Linked DNA regions of Cricetulus griseus. The protein of the gene in region 1 purifies or fractionates together with the protein of each later gene. This does not show direct contact. Links are inferred from orthologs where the notes say so. Each region holds a gene or a part of one and is shown in the gene's direction. Other genes may lie near its edges.

What was found. Proteins that work in one complex are often made in the same cells at the same time.
Region 2: the proteins of Ube3d (region 1) and Dnaaf2 purify together in Homo sapiens (affinity purification with mass spectrometry; 4 studies listed by BioGRID and IntAct, counting the BioPlex papers as one, with this or other methods). This does not show direct contact. The link is inferred for Cricetulus griseus from reciprocal best matches to the Homo sapiens genes UBE3D and DNAAF2.

Annotation. Positions count from the first base shown.
Region 1 is NC_048597.1:196,577,052-196,584,483, reverse strand, and holds the start of Ube3d (E3 ubiquitin-protein ligase E3D), read left to right. Parts: upstream 1-3,140; 5' UTR 3,141-3,254; coding exon 3,255-3,331; intron 3,332-7,432. UniProt on the Homo sapiens protein: E3 ubiquitin-protein ligase which accepts ubiquitin from specific E2 ubiquitin-conjugating enzymes, and transfers it to substrates, generally promoting their degradation by the proteasome.
Region 2 is NC_048598.1:134,171,290-134,178,851, forward strand, and holds the start of Dnaaf2 (protein kintoun), read left to right. Parts: upstream 1-3,220; 5' UTR 3,221-3,257; coding exon 3,258-5,081; intron 5,082-7,562. UniProt on the Homo sapiens protein: Required for cytoplasmic pre-assembly of axonemal dyneins, thereby playing a central role in motility in cilia and flagella.

The DNA of each region.
Region 1 (7,432 bases):
TAGAAATGCTTCAGGTTTGGTGTGTGGTAATTATAACTATGAAATTATGAAATGGAACAACAATAAATTGGATTTCTGTCTTGGCTAGTTTTATGTCAACCTGACACAAAGTAGAGTCGCCTGAAAGAAAGGAACCTTGATTGAGACAATGCCTCCATAAGATCCAGCTGCAAGGCATTTTCTTAGTGATTGACTGGCAAGGACCCAACCCATGGTGGGTGGTGCTATCTCTGGTCTAATGGCCCTGGGTCCTATAAGAAAGGAGACTGCTTATGGTTTACACGACGTCCTATCAACAGATTTCTGGTGTCCAACAAATTCAGTTTTCGTGATCTGAAGAAATTATGGAACCAGGCTGGGCTGTGGAGAGACTCCAACCAAGTCTGGAACAGGCATTGGGAGGAAGTGAGGGCAAAGACTCCTCTGTGTAAAATAAGTAGCTGTAATGTAGCTTCCTGACACTTGGCTAATTGAGGTGTTAATTCTGACTTGAAAATCTTTTTCATAAATGATTTTAAAGAAAAAATTGGATTTTAAAGGTATTAAAATATTTTTGTTTTTTGTTTTTTTTTTTTTTTAAAAAAAAGAAAGCAGACTGCAAAGTCCTGGGAGCAAGCCAGTAAGCAGCACCCTTCGATGGCTCCTGCATCAGCTCCTGCCTCCAGGATTCTGCCCTGTTTGAGTTTCTATTCTTTCAATGAGCAGTACTGTGGAAGTATAGACTAAATAAACCCTTTCCTCTCCAAGTTTCTTTAGTCATGGCTGTAAGCATTTCAACAGGTTGGATTGAAAGACTTAAAAATTAGCAAAGAAATATAGCCCAGAAACTGACCAAGGCCACTACTATGACTTAGTGCCTGGAATTTACCAACCACCAGCAATTACTCCCTTACAAGGCCATAAGATAGCTGGGTACCAGCACAGGAAGATTTGGTGGACTTTGCAGAGCCCCTGTTAAGGGCCCTACCCTGCCTGGGGAGTGGTGGGTGGATGGAGTGGGGGGGTGGGCTGGGGTGGGGGAGGAGGGATGGGGGTGAGGGGGGGAGAGGAGAAGGGACTTACATGTGAAACAAGCTTGTTCCCTAACTGGAACTAATAAATAAATTAAAAAAAAAAAAGATAACTGGGTACCAAGAATTCCCAGATGGCTACCCTCCCCTGAGGGGCTCACTGGCCAATGTGTCAACAATTAACAATTTACTCAGGCAAGTTTAGTTAGCACATCCTGAGGTCTTCGGGTTTACAACTGGTGGGTCAGGAGGCCATCTGATTCCCAGCCCTCCCCTCAAGACAAAGGGCCTCCTAGGAACCTGTGACTCTGGTCACGTACTCAACAGCTGTGGCTTTTGCCTTTAAAACCGGCAGTGCCTAGAGGTCGGGGCGGCCCTGGAGCCAAACTTGCGTGCTGAGGAGGCCCGTTTGACAAATGTTCACCTTTCATTAATGCCTCTTGCTGTTTGCATCAAGTTTCTGCCTCCTCATGGTGATTGAGGTGCCCGAGGTCCTGGGATGAGATCCTGGGGGCCTGAGTCTCTGGGGGCCTTTCAGGATCAGCAAGGATTCTGGCACTCAGGAGCCAAAGAGTATTGAGTATTACAACTAGGTTGGAAAGGTATTCTGGCAATCTGGAGCCAAGGAATACCACAGGTCACAGTAAATGTAGTAGCTTACAACCCTGCTTCAGGGAAAGGTTTTCCCAGTGTAACAGCTCTGCTCGATCCAGCAGGGGAGGGCTTCCTGGTGAAGTTGTTACAGCTAAACTCCAGTCTTTTGGAGTGTAACAACTCTGCTTCACTAGGGGAAGGTTTCCCCAGCTAAAGTGTTATAGCCCTGCTCCACTTGCTCTGCTCTACTTTGCTCTGGCTCTAGCAAAAGTTGTTTCTCTCCTCCACTCCATTCCGGCAAAGGAAGGTCTCACCCAAACCTCATTTAAGAGATTTATCAAGAGGGAAGAATCCAGGAGAGTGGCTGCTTCTGCCACGATGGAAGAGGACCAGCAGGACAGACCCACAAGCACAAGCTGAACAGACACGGGGTTTATATAGGGCTTCTTTGAGGCAGAGTTTTTCCAGGGAGATTTCCAGGGTGGAGATTGGTCAGATTTCATTCCCTGAGCTGAGATTGGCTAGATCTTGTGCTCAGGGATTGGTTTTCTGCTCAGGTTCAGGGTCAGATTTGGCTCTGGTTTCAGGGCCAAAGTGTGATTCCTTCACTGGTCCTTTTCAGCCTTTTGGTTCTAATTTTATTTCTTCTGTATTTCTTTCACTGGCTCTGATTCTAGGGCCAAAGTGTGTTTCTTTTGGCTCTGCTCAGGGTGTGTTTCTTTGGCTGGCCTTTTCCCCCTACATTGGTGTTTCATAATAGCAACAGTAACCCTAAGACAATTTCCTTTATACAAGCTATCATTGATTTAAGTAACAACCTTTTATTTTTAAAGAAATCCTATTGAAATTCCATGGCCTGATACATTTGTTTACACCATACCATATCCTTTACTGTGTCAAACTTTGAAAATGTGTCTTGTAGTAGCAATGAAATTATAACTTCGCTGAGTCTTTTATTTCTGCAGTATAGTGGGGGCGTACATCAGCAATTACTCATTTTCGTTTTGCTTCTCTAAAGTTATATGAATGATTAGTCCCTCAATACAAGCTACTAGACTCTACCCACTGTGTTTTCATGGCTTACAGAGACCTTACGTCTTTTGCAACTGTTTCAGTCTTGGAGCTATCCTGTAAAGCGAATGCAATACCCCATCGATCTTTGACATTTTGGTTACAATGGACACGGAAGCTAATAAACAGTCCTAGTTCCAAAAAGAGGAGACTCAGATAAAGTGGGCTTTGGGGCGGCCATTCAGCTCTGGAAATGGAGAAAGTACCCATCTCTACTGTTTCTGCTCCATTATCTTCCTCATTCCTACCCAAGCCATCCAGAGGAATCCCTCCCGGCCCCCAAGTTTGATCTTTCTGCTCATTTCAGGGAGAGAAGTGCTCAGATCAAGCCCTCCCTCATCCTGTTCTGTTCTCTGTTCTGGCTCTGTTCTCTGTTCCCCTGTGCTGCAAGAGCAGGGTTGGCGGGAGGTGCACTCCAGGGTCCGCGCCTCAGCAGTGCGTTCTCCGCCCGCAAGGCGGCGCTGTAGCCGACAGGATCCCGCCCGGCCACCGCCTGGGAGCCGCCTGCGACACGTGCTCCCACTCTGTCCGGGTTCTGGTAACTGCGGGCTCGGTCTCGTGTGCGGGCCTCAGTGGGCCATGGCGGTGGCTGCGGCGGAAACGCGCGTGTTCCTGGAAGTGCGGAGACGGCTGCAGAGCGCGCTGCTAATCCTGGGGTAAGGGCGGAGGCGCCGGTGCGCGGGACCGCGTGTGCGAGCCATGCTCGCGACCGAGGCGCCGGTGCACGTGCGCGAGACGGGAACGCGGAGGCGCGGGACGGCGGGGCGAGCGCGAGCGGCCTTAGGCGCGCGCGCGCGAGACAATGTGCGCGTGCGCTGGACGGGATCGGGTGGCGAACTGAGATCTTTATGTTTGCCTGGCAAGCGCTTTAGCCACTGGCCGGTTTCCCCAGCCTGTGTGCAAACTTTTGATTTCATATTTACTACACAAACAAGAAACCTGGCGGGGAAATAGACTTTTTTAGATTACGGTTAGCAGTTTTAATGTTTTAATGATCTCTTCATAGGTTTTGCCTATTTCTCTGTGACAAGTGTTTCAAACAGACATAGGTCTGAAAATGTGTTCTGGAGCAGCATATCTATCTCTGTATCTCTATATCTGTATATCTGAATTTCCTCAGTTTTACGATTGGGATTGAGTCTAGGCTCAGTGCAACTCATTTGCCTAGCATGTACAGGCTCTGAGATCTCTCCCTAGTATGGGGGTGAAGGGTGAAGTGCTAGATAAAGGAGTGGGGTCATAATTTCAAACAGATATCTTTAAGCTCTGTCCATCTTGTTTGGTAATTAAGAGTACAAACATTCCCAAATACAACCCCTTACCCCCCACACAAACAAACAAACAAAAACCCTGTAAGCAAGTTAAGAAACTTACTTTGCTAGACAGCTTATTTGTCTCTGTTTGACCTTTGACTTCTAGCACCAGTCACTTCCCCTGCACTAGTAACAACCGTGTTCTTCATTCAGCCATTCCACACAATGTCACTGTTTCTGGACCTGTGTTGACACATGTATTAGTCAGGGTTCTCTAGAGCAACAATTTATTGAATGAATCTCTATATATAGAAAGGGGATTTATTACAATGACTTAACAGGCTGCAGTCCAACTAATTCAACAATGGCTGCCTATGTATGAATGGAAAGTCCAAAAAATCCAGTAGTTGCTCGGTTCGTGAGGCTAGATAGCTCAGCTGGTCTTCAGTATACTTAGGAATCCCAAAGAAGTAGGCTCTAACCCCAGTGAAGGGATGAACTTGAGAGCCAGGGCAACTAAGCAAAGAGCAAAGAACTTCCTTCTTCGGTGTTCCTTCCAGCAGAATGTGTGGCCCAGATTAGAGGTGGCTTATCCCAGCTCAGATCTGGATAAAGGCACATCTACCTCAAAGGTCTGGATTAGAAATGAATCTTCCTACTTCAAATTAAGCAAAAATCTCTCACAGGTGTGTACTCCATTTTGGAATTTTAGGTTCATTCCAGATGTAGCCAAGTTGACATAGCTTTCACAGCATGCATTGGGTTTTGTTTCTGCTTTCCCCAGCATTTTTTTTTTTTTTTTGAGAGACCATCAAAGACTAGTATAAGTTACTATGTAAACCAGGTTGGCTTTGAACACACAGAGATCTGCCTGCCTCTGCCTCCGCAGCATTGGGAACCTTCAACAGGGCTGTGAGATTCATGGTTCATCTGTGTTGTTGCTTATATTAGTATTCCTTTCCTGTGACTTACTGAGTAATTTTCCATTGTCTGGATATTCCACAAACTCATTCTTCTATTGCTGGATGTTTTGTTTATTTTCAGAAAGTGTTTACTATGAGTCAGCTGCATTAGATTTGCTTTATAAGATTTGTGTGTGTGTGTGTGTGTGTGTGTGTGTGTGTGTGTGTGTGTGTGTGTGTGTGATGGGAGCTGGGTATTGGAACTAGGCAAATGCATTTGCCACTGAGCCACACCCCCAGCCTTGTTTAATGTCTTGTCTTATTATGACATGTATACCCTTGGATTAATACTTAAGGGTGAAATTAGGAAATATCCTACATTATCCTGCAATGTAGGATAGAGGTGCCCAGTTCTTTGTGAGAAACTGTCAAACAGTTCTCTCATGTGGCCAATCTTTTTGGTTTGAGCCATTTTAATGGGGATGAGGAATTATTTTATGGTTTATCCTTGGTGACTTAAAATGTTGAGAACTTTTTCGTCTGCTTTTTGATAATCCAAGTGTGTTATTTTGTAAAGTATCTTATGGTTTCTAACTAATAAAAGCAGGTTCATCTCTAGCTAATAAAAACTGGTTAGTCTTGTTGCTAAGTTGAAACAATAGAAAGCCACATGCGTGAGGATTTGTGGATGTCTTCCTGCATCTGTGGCAGACATTTTTGTTTTCCTAATACACAGTGAATATGTCTTATTGGAAAAGGTCTGGGTGGGCCTGAAGTGATTTTGGACCTTTCTAGAGTTTGTAGTATTTGCATAGACTTCTTGAGCATCTCTAGCAAAGTGGTATGGGTCAGAATCATTTTCATTCCAGCGCATTTTGGCCTTTTGGCTTAGGGGTACTCAGTATGTTGTCTTTTGATGAGCAGAAATTTAAATCTTAATAAAAATCCAGTTTCTCAAGTTTTTTTTTTTTCCAGCCTTGTCTAATATCTTAAATCTTTTTCTACCTCGACTTTGTGAATACTTCCCCCGACCCACCCCAGGTTTCTTTTACCTATGTCTCTATTTAGTAATGGGTCTTGCTGTGCTAGCTAGTCCTTGAACTCCTGGGCTTAAAGGGACCCCTCTGCTTGCCTCAGCTTCCAAGTCTCTGGGACCCTAAGCATGACTGACCCTCTGCTTAGCTTTTCTGCATTTGTTTTTAAGGAGGGTTACCACTTTTGTTTCTATCTCTGGTATATTGGATTAATTTTTTGTGTTCACAGTGAAGTAGGAATCAAAGTATTTATTATCTATGGATATCCAGTTGTTCCATGATCTTTAATTATGGCTGTAATTTTCTCATTGGATAGTTCAATATCTGTATGAGAAATCAGTTCACTACACTGTTTGTATGAACATCCCTTCCTGCCTTTATACTTTAAACTTGTGTCTTTATAAGTGATTTTTTTTCCCCTCCAAGTAGCACACTGTTGAGTGTTTCTGTCATGGAAAATTTGACAATCTGTGCATTCATTAGAATTTTTAGTACCTTTATTTCTTCATATGGTTGAGTTTGGTTCCTCGTCTTTTTTTTTTTTTAACTTTTATATTAGCATTTTAAAGTTAGTAAACAAAGTGATGGGTTTGTACATTCATTGTTTCTCTTGCCCCTTTGCTCCACCCCCACCGGCCCCTCCCCTTCACTGTTCTCTTCTGCTTCAGGGCAAATGCATTCTGTTACCTTCTCTTCCGTTTTCATCTCTCTGTTTCCTTAAAACCTCATTTTTCACTCTCACTGTCCCCTTTCTCATTTTATGACCTACACCCAAACTCACCCCCACAAGTATAAAAATTAAAATCTAGGATCCACAGATGGACGTGGTGGCACACACCTTTAATCTCAGCAGTTGGGGGGCAGAGACAGGCAGATTTCTGAGTCTGAGGCCAGCCTGGGCTATAGTTCCAGGACAGCCAGGGCTACCCAGAGAAACCCTGTCTCCATAAAAACAAAAAAAGAAAAAACAAAAAACAACAACAAAAAAAAAAACAAAAAACAAAACTCGGGGTGAATCCACCCATGAGAAAAACACGTGGTATTTGATTGAGTTTGAATTAATCTGATGAGCTCCAGTTCTATCTGTGTCCTGGAAGTGCCATGATTTCATTTTTCTTTCTGGCAGAATAAAATTTCACTGTGTTTATGGATCACCTTTACTTTGTCCACTCATCCAGCCTGGGTCCATTTCCTTAATGTTGTGGATAGTGCAGCACTCAGCACAGATGTACACGTATTTTTGTGATGGGACTTAAGAGTCCTCCAGGCTGGGCGATGGTCCCAGCACTCGGGAGGCAGAGGCAGGGAGGCAGAGGCAGCTAGATCTCTGTGAGTTTGAGACCAGCCTGGTATACAAGAGCTAGTTCCAGGACAGCCTCCAAAGCCACAGAGAAACCTTGTCTCAAACAAACAAACAAACAAACAAACAAACAAACAAAAGTCCTCCAGATATATACCCAGGACTAATGTAGCACAGTTAGGTGGTAGTTTTAATTTTAGTTTTTGAGAAACTTCCCTACAGTGGCAATACCAGTTTACATTCCTGCTCATAGTAGCAATGGGTGAAT
Region 2 (7,562 bases), on another chromosome or scaffold:
ACTTCAGAATGTTTTATAGAAAAAATTTTTCCTCTGCAGTCTAAAAAACAAGCAGATATGTTTAAAATGTAATGCAATTACAAATTTTCACTTGTCTATTTCTCTGCTAGGCACAATTCAGTTCATTTTAAAAAATAACTTTAAAATTTGTGAATTTTTTTTACTCTAACTTGGGTTATTGACAACATAATAACTCTGATAGTATATTAACAGATTTTTCACAAAATTTCTTCTTACAAAGTTTAGAAAAAAATCTGTTTTGGGGTATTGTATATTTACTACATAATTTTCCATAACTGCCTTTTAGCAGTGGAAAATTTTAACAGTCATTCCCATAGTTTTTCTTTTTTCTTTCTTTTTTTTAGATCTTTATTTATTTGTTCTGCCTTCATGTATGCCTACAGGCCAGAAGAGGGTATTAGATGTCATCATAGAAGGTTGTGAGCCACCATGTGGTTGCGGAAAATTGAACTCAGGTCCTCTGGAAGAGTAGCCAGTTTTCTTAACTTCTGAGACATCTCTCCAGCCCGCACTTGCTGCTCTTACAGGGGATCAGTGTTCAGTTCCCAGCACCCATGTTAGAGGCTCACAATTATAATCCTAGCTTCAGGGCTCTGACATTCTTATGGCTTCTGTGGGCACCATGTACATGTATGTAGACATACACATGGATACACATACACATACCCATAAATAAAAAAGAAAATAAATCTTTATTTTTTCAAAAAGAGTTGTGAACTATTTGGGTACACCCCCCAGTTTCTTCTCTGTGTATTTTTCTCCTGCAGAAGTACTTTGGGATCGGTTTTTACATGTTAAACTTGCTCTTTTCCTCCCTCGGTATAGGCATGCATTACATGCACAGCCAGCCATTCATGCACTACATGCATAGCCAATGCATTCCAGGTACCAGGGAATCCAGTTCCTCCTCAGAAAAGCACAGTTCTAGGTTTCATGAAGCTTACCTTCAAATAAGGAAAGCTATACTCTAAAACAGTTCCATATAGGACCTATAGTGAAAAAACTTTAAAGAGGATAATTCTTGATGGGATGTTTGGAGGTGGGAGTTAAGCTGACATTTAAATTCTCAAGATTCGAGGGTGTTCTTCCATTAGGCTAAACCAGAGGGAGACAGATAGTGACTACAGAGTAGTTAAGAGGTTAAGAACAGAGGAAAGAGGGCTGGAGAGATGGCTCTGGCTAAGAGCACTGACTGTTCTTCCAGAGGTCCTGAGTTCAATTCCCAGCAACCACATGGTGGCTCACAACCACCTTGAATAACATCTGGTGCCCTCTGCTGGCAATCAGGCAGAAGACTGTATACTAAATAAAATCTAAAAAAAAAAAAAAAAAAAAAAAACAGAGTAAAGAGATTTGGGTGTTAAATCACCTGAGAGAACTGTAATGATATTAATAGGTTTGGTTTAAAGATACAAGGCAAGTGTTTAGTGGCTTAAACACTTGCTGTGGGCAGAACCTAATAACCTGAGTTTGATCCCCTGCTGGGGATTACACATTGTAGAAGGAGAAAATGGAGTTCCCCAAGGTATCCACTGGTGTTCACAATAAACAAATAAATGCAATGGTAACTTTAAAGAGATACCGAGACAACTATGTGAAGATAGACTGTAAGGAAATGGCCTGCGGGTGTGGCTCAGTGGCAGAGCTCATGCTACAGGTGTCACTTATGGACATGTTAGACAAGGTAGGATTGGTAGCTGAGTGGCAGTGAAGGACAGGTAGAGAGGAATCAAGGATTATATTTAAGTTTTAGGTCTAAAAGCTGGGGAGGTGGTAGTGTTTACTGACACTTCAGGTTTGAGATGGTGTCAGGGTTTCTGTTCTGAGCATGTTGCAGTACTTATCAAACATTCAGGTGAAGAAATCTAACATGTGGGTCTTCAAGGGCTCAGTGGTCAGGTAGGAATGAAGGTCTAATTTTGAAGTCAATGGTTTCATCCCAAAGTAAGATCCATGAAGGCATCCTTTTTTTTTTTTTTCTTTTTTAAATTGAAGTTTGGCCTTGAAATCAAGAGATCTGCCTTCCTCTGCTGGGATTAAGAGTTGTGCCTCACAATGTCCATATGAGTACATATATTTGTGAAAGAGATGACATAATGGGGACAAGGTGCTATCCCAGTCTTGGGACATTCTACTTAAAATATAACAGAAGACTTGTGCAGAAACAACTAAAAGAACAGATGGCAGACTTGGGGTACAGCTCGGTGCCACACACTGGGTTCCATCCCAGGATATTATCTGTCCCCCACACAAAAAAGGATGAGTTGAGAGAAAAACCTGGGAAAGATCTTGTGACTGCAGTAATGTGTGCAGTAAACCGTGCTAAATGCTGCACACATTAAACTGATCCAGGGCTTGCCAGATCTGGGCCTTACTCTGGGCCTGGAGGTGTGGCTCAGTGGCAGAGCTCATGCTACAGGTGTGAGGTCCTGGCTCCTGACCTTAGCCCCAAAACAAAACAAAATTCCTAGGAAGTCACATGGCATAAAATTCCATTGTATTACCACCATACCTGTTGCATTAATTCCTTGTGGGGCTTACATTCTTTCTTATAGACTCACAGAAACTATGGACTCAATCTAAGGATTTGTGGTTTTAAAAAGATGTTCAATTTTAATTCTATCCTCAACCCAAGGAAACTGATCCAGACAAAGTCTGTGATTTTGCTTAGTGATTTATGAGCCCTTATATTTACATTATGAAAAGTAACTTTTCCTGTCTAATGGGCTTTGGTATTTTTTTTTGAAGCGTTCATCTTTTGCCCCCAAAGAGTCTTTATGGGATAATTTTAAGGTGGGATACCTAAAAATTAGGCCTTAAATATCGGGTTCACCAAGTGAAAAGGGCCAGATAGAAGATTTGTGAATTGTAGTCTTGGCTAGGAAACTTCTCATTTGTCTGTGACAGTAAACAGTTAATAAGATAAAGATACAGTGCTGAAAATGAGGGCAGTTAATCACGATAGACTGCAAAGTACGTGTATCCTGGCACAGCAGACTAAAGCCGGCAGCTGTTAGAATGCTGCTTGAAGCAGCAGCCTATTTCTACGCTTCCCACGAGACCGCCGCCCCTCCTCCCAGGTGTCACTATGGCAACAAAGCACGCGCTGCCCCGGCTGTCCAGCCGTTACCTTCCTAGGCTGGTCACTTCTGAATGTACCAGACTCCCAAGTGCCTTAAACACTCTGGTTTGGGCTGGTCCTTCACCGGGCCAGAGTGAGGGGCTGAGTGGGCACCATGGCCAAGGCGGCGGCCTCCTCAGCGCTGGAGGACTTGGATCTGAGCGGAGAGGAGGTGCAGCGGCTCACCTCCGCCTTTCAGGACCCAGAGTTCCGCCGAATGTTCTCCGAGTATGCCTCGGAGATCACAGACCCTGAGAACCGGAGGCTCTATGAGGAGGAGATCACCGCCCTGGAGCGGGAGCGCGGGGTGGAGGTGCGGTTCGTGCACCCGGAGCCGGGTCACGTGCTGCGAACCAGCCTGGACGGGGAGCACCGCTGCTTCGTGAACGTGTGCAGTAACTCGCTGGTGGACGCGCCCAGTAGCCGCCCGGGCCCGGGGCCCGGCGGCACAGCAGCGGGCAACCACTGGTCCCTGCCCTACAGCCTGGCGCCGGGCCGCAAGTATGCGGGGCGCAGCGGCTCCCGCTACACCGTCTACGACGTGGTCTTCCACCCGGACGCCCTAGCGCTGGCCCGGGGCCACGAGCGATTCCGCGCAATGCTGGACGCCACGGCCCTGGAGGCGGTGGAGCAGCAGTTCGGCGTCAGGCTGGACCGCAGGAACGCCAAGACCCTGAAGATCAAGTACAAGGGGATGCCCGAGGCTGCGGTGCTCCGCACGCCCCTTCCCGGGGGCGTCCCTGCCCAGCCCGAGGGGGAGCCGCCCGAGCTTCTCCCGGACCTGCAGTACCCGTACCCGTACCGCTACCCCGAAGCGGCGGAGAGCACGGCTCGCGCGCAGGCAGCCGCGGCTCCCCGGGCACCCCAGGCGGAGCAGCCGCCGGAGCCCACGGAGCCGCGGTGCACGGTGGTGCAGCGCCACCACGTGGACCTGCAGGATTACCGCTGCTCGCGCGACGCCGCCCCGAGCCCGGTGCCGCACGAGCTGGTGGTCACCATCGAGCTGCCGCTGCTGCGCTCGGCCGAGAAGGCGGAACTGGAGGTGAAGGGGAAGCTGCTGTGCCTGGACTCCAGGAGCCCGGATTACCGGCTGCGCCTCCCGCTGCCCTACCCGGTGGACGACGGCCGCGGCAAGGCGCAGTACAACAAGGCGCGGCGACAGCTGGTGGTCACGCTGCCCGTGGCGCTGGCGACCGCCCGCCGGGACCTCGCTGCGACGCCGCCGGAAGCGTCCGCGGCCGAGACCGGAACTGACGGCGCAGCCGGCGCTTCCGAGGGCGACCTTGCTGCGGCGCGGGAAGATTCGGTGAATAGGACCCGAGCTGACCGCGGGGACGAGAGTGGTGTGGGAGCCCCAGGCTTCGGGGCGGCAGACGCTGAAGGGGAGCCGGTTCCCAAGCGGGAGCGAGACTTGGGTGGGGACTCGGTGGCGTCTCTAGGCCTCGGGGAAGGGCCCCCTCCTGGGGACCGAAGCCCCCCTTGCACCGCGTTCCCGGGCTGCGACACCGAGTCCCGCGCGGGAAGCCCCGGGCTGTGCGGAGACCTCAATGCCCAGACGTGTGAGGAGCAGGAGGGGCGCTGCCACGACGCCTCGGGCTCAGCCATGGGTGGCTCCGGAGCCGGGAGCATCGGACCATTGTGCCCTCCTTTGCAGTGCAATCAGGACGAAGACTCCTTGACTTTGCTCATCCAAGTGCCTCAGATTCAGCCGCAAAGTCTTCACGGGGACCTGAGCCCCCTCCGATACAATTTGTGCTTCTCCACACAAGACTCAGGCTATTGCTTCACTTTGCAGTTTGCTCCAGAGAATAAATTGAGTACCAGAGAACCCGTGATTAGCATTTCTTTAAACAATGCGGTGATAGTACTGGCAAAATCTCCGGAGAGCCGTGGACACTGGCGAGAATGGTATTGTGGCTTGAACACCGACTCTTTGGAGGTAACCGTTTTCACTATTTGAAAGACTCTTATTTTTTTTTTTTTGTTACAGGCACCTAAACAAATGTTTTCCACCTATTCATATTATGAAAGATAGTGCGTGGTAAGTGTGTTCTCAAAGCGAAGTTTGCACATACCCGAAGCATGCACTTCATGCCTTCAGGGTTGTCCGTAATGCAGCCGTTTTCTTGGGGTCCATCCACTGGCTAACCAGACTGGATTTTATTGATTCCTAGACCTCTGGCATTTTATGCAAAAATTGAGGGTAGTGTCTCTCCCGAGAAAAGGGTTATAACTTAAGTCGTCCTCAACAGGATTTATGTCGAAAAAGCACTCCAAAGTGGTCATATTTTAACTTGGGAAATCACTTCTAAGTTTTTTAATTTGGACAGATGATAAAATACTTCCGGAGATGAAATAATTTATGCTGGGGTTATAGATTAAGCTCAGAGGTAGAGCATTCTCCTGTACTAGCCTTAGTCTCCTCCTTCCCTATTTCCCATTTGGCCATATGAAACTGTTGGAGTGAGGTTGCCCTCTGGTGGGTGCTGTAAATTACACAGAAAATTTCTCTGTTTTATTTGTCGCTAGAACCCCTAAGTATTTAGTGCATGGCCGGCATTTGATAAAGTGTTCGTCTCACTACATAGCCCTGGCAGTCCTGGAACTATGTGGACCAAGCTGGCCTTGAACTCAGAGAGATCCACTTGCTTTTGCCTCCCAAGTGCTGGCGTTAAAGGTGTGTGTCACCATGCCCAACTATAGTGGATTTTCTTTTTAGTTTTGTTTATTGAGACAGGGATTCTCTGTGTAGCCCTGGTTGTCCTGGAACTCACTCTGTAGACCAGTCTGGCCTCGAACTTAAAAGATGCCCCTTTCTCTGCCTCCTGAGTGCTGTGATTAAAGGCATACACCACCACCACCTGGCTTAGAAATGCTTTTGATGGAGTGCTTCAGTAATAATATCCAGAATATAAGATTCTGGATCTTCAAGTAATAGAAAGGTAAGGTAATTGTTCTAAATGTAAAATTCCTCTAATTTATTGGTTCACTTGCAAATTCAAATACTGTTTAATATAAGCAAAGAGAATTTGAAATTATCTCTGATTTTGTCCCTCCTCTTTGGACCACATAATAATCTTTACTTTGTAATTATAATATTTACTTATATAAAAGCACAGAAGATAATCTTATTTGGGGTAACTAAACTGATCTTATGAATTAAATAATTTTAAATATGGTTAAATGGCTGTTCCTTACTGGATGTGAATATAAAAAAAACTATATTGTGTTTAGATTTGGGTGATAGTGATGCTTAAATTTTCTAGTTGAGAAGCCTGTTACTGTCTTAAAATCTACTTCCTTTTAAATAACTATGTACATGTGGCACACTAAAATATATCAATATTCTTTTTTTTTTTTTTTTTTATCTGTACAACATTCTGCTTCCATGCTTATCTGCACACCAGAAGAGGGCACCAGATCTCATAACAGATGGTTGTGAGCCACCATGTGGTTGCTGGGAACCGAACTCAGGACCTCTGGAAGAGCAGTCAGTGCTCTTAACCTCTGAGCCATCTCTCCAGCCCAAATATATCAATTTTTAAAAATAAAACATATGGTGACTTCTTTGAAAACCTTCGTTCATGTTTTTAAGTGTGTTTGTCCTTCTGAGTGCCTTTCTTTCTCGTTCTTTCTCTCTCTTCCTCTGAGACGTGTTTCTCTATGTAGCCTTGGCTGGCCTGGAACTCTCTTTGTAGACCAGGCTGGCCTGGAACTCACAGAATCCATTTGTTTCTGTTACCTGATCACTAGGAGTAGAGGTGTGTGATGCTGTGCCCAGCACTGAGTGCTGTAGTTTTTCTTAAAGCCAGCATTGAATGATTTCTGTTAGACCCAGACATTGCTTCAAAAATTTAAAAATAAATAGAATGTGCTTCTTTTAAATATTGTAATGGGTTCTTAAGTGGGCCAATAACTTTTTCTGTATTTTGTTTGATACCTGGGGTCTGAGGTAGCCTAAGGTGGCCTTGAACTCCTGTGTAGCTGAAGGTGACCCTGAACTTCTGATCTTCCTGCCTCTGCTTCCCAAGTGTTGGAAATACAGTTTTGAGCCACTGCATCCAGTTTACATAGTCAAGAATTTAAAAGACATAGGAGTTATTAGAAGCTGAACTATAATAAGATTGCATTTATAGCCTTGAAGGGAATATTCCTAAGAAATACCAGGGGCACCAGATAGAATGATGTGGAAGCAGCAGAAAAGAAGTTCAAGGTCACCTTCAGGTGCACAAAGGTCAGCTTGGGCTACCTCGGACAGTATATATTTGGAAAAAAATAAAGGAAATACTGTTTGTAAGTAAGATAATCTTGGTAGGGAAAGCACACACCTCCTCTTTAGTAAACTTTAAATAAAAAATCAAGACTTCCTTTTATCTTTCTCTTTTTAGGTGGATCTCCTATTATATTCTGGACAAAACTA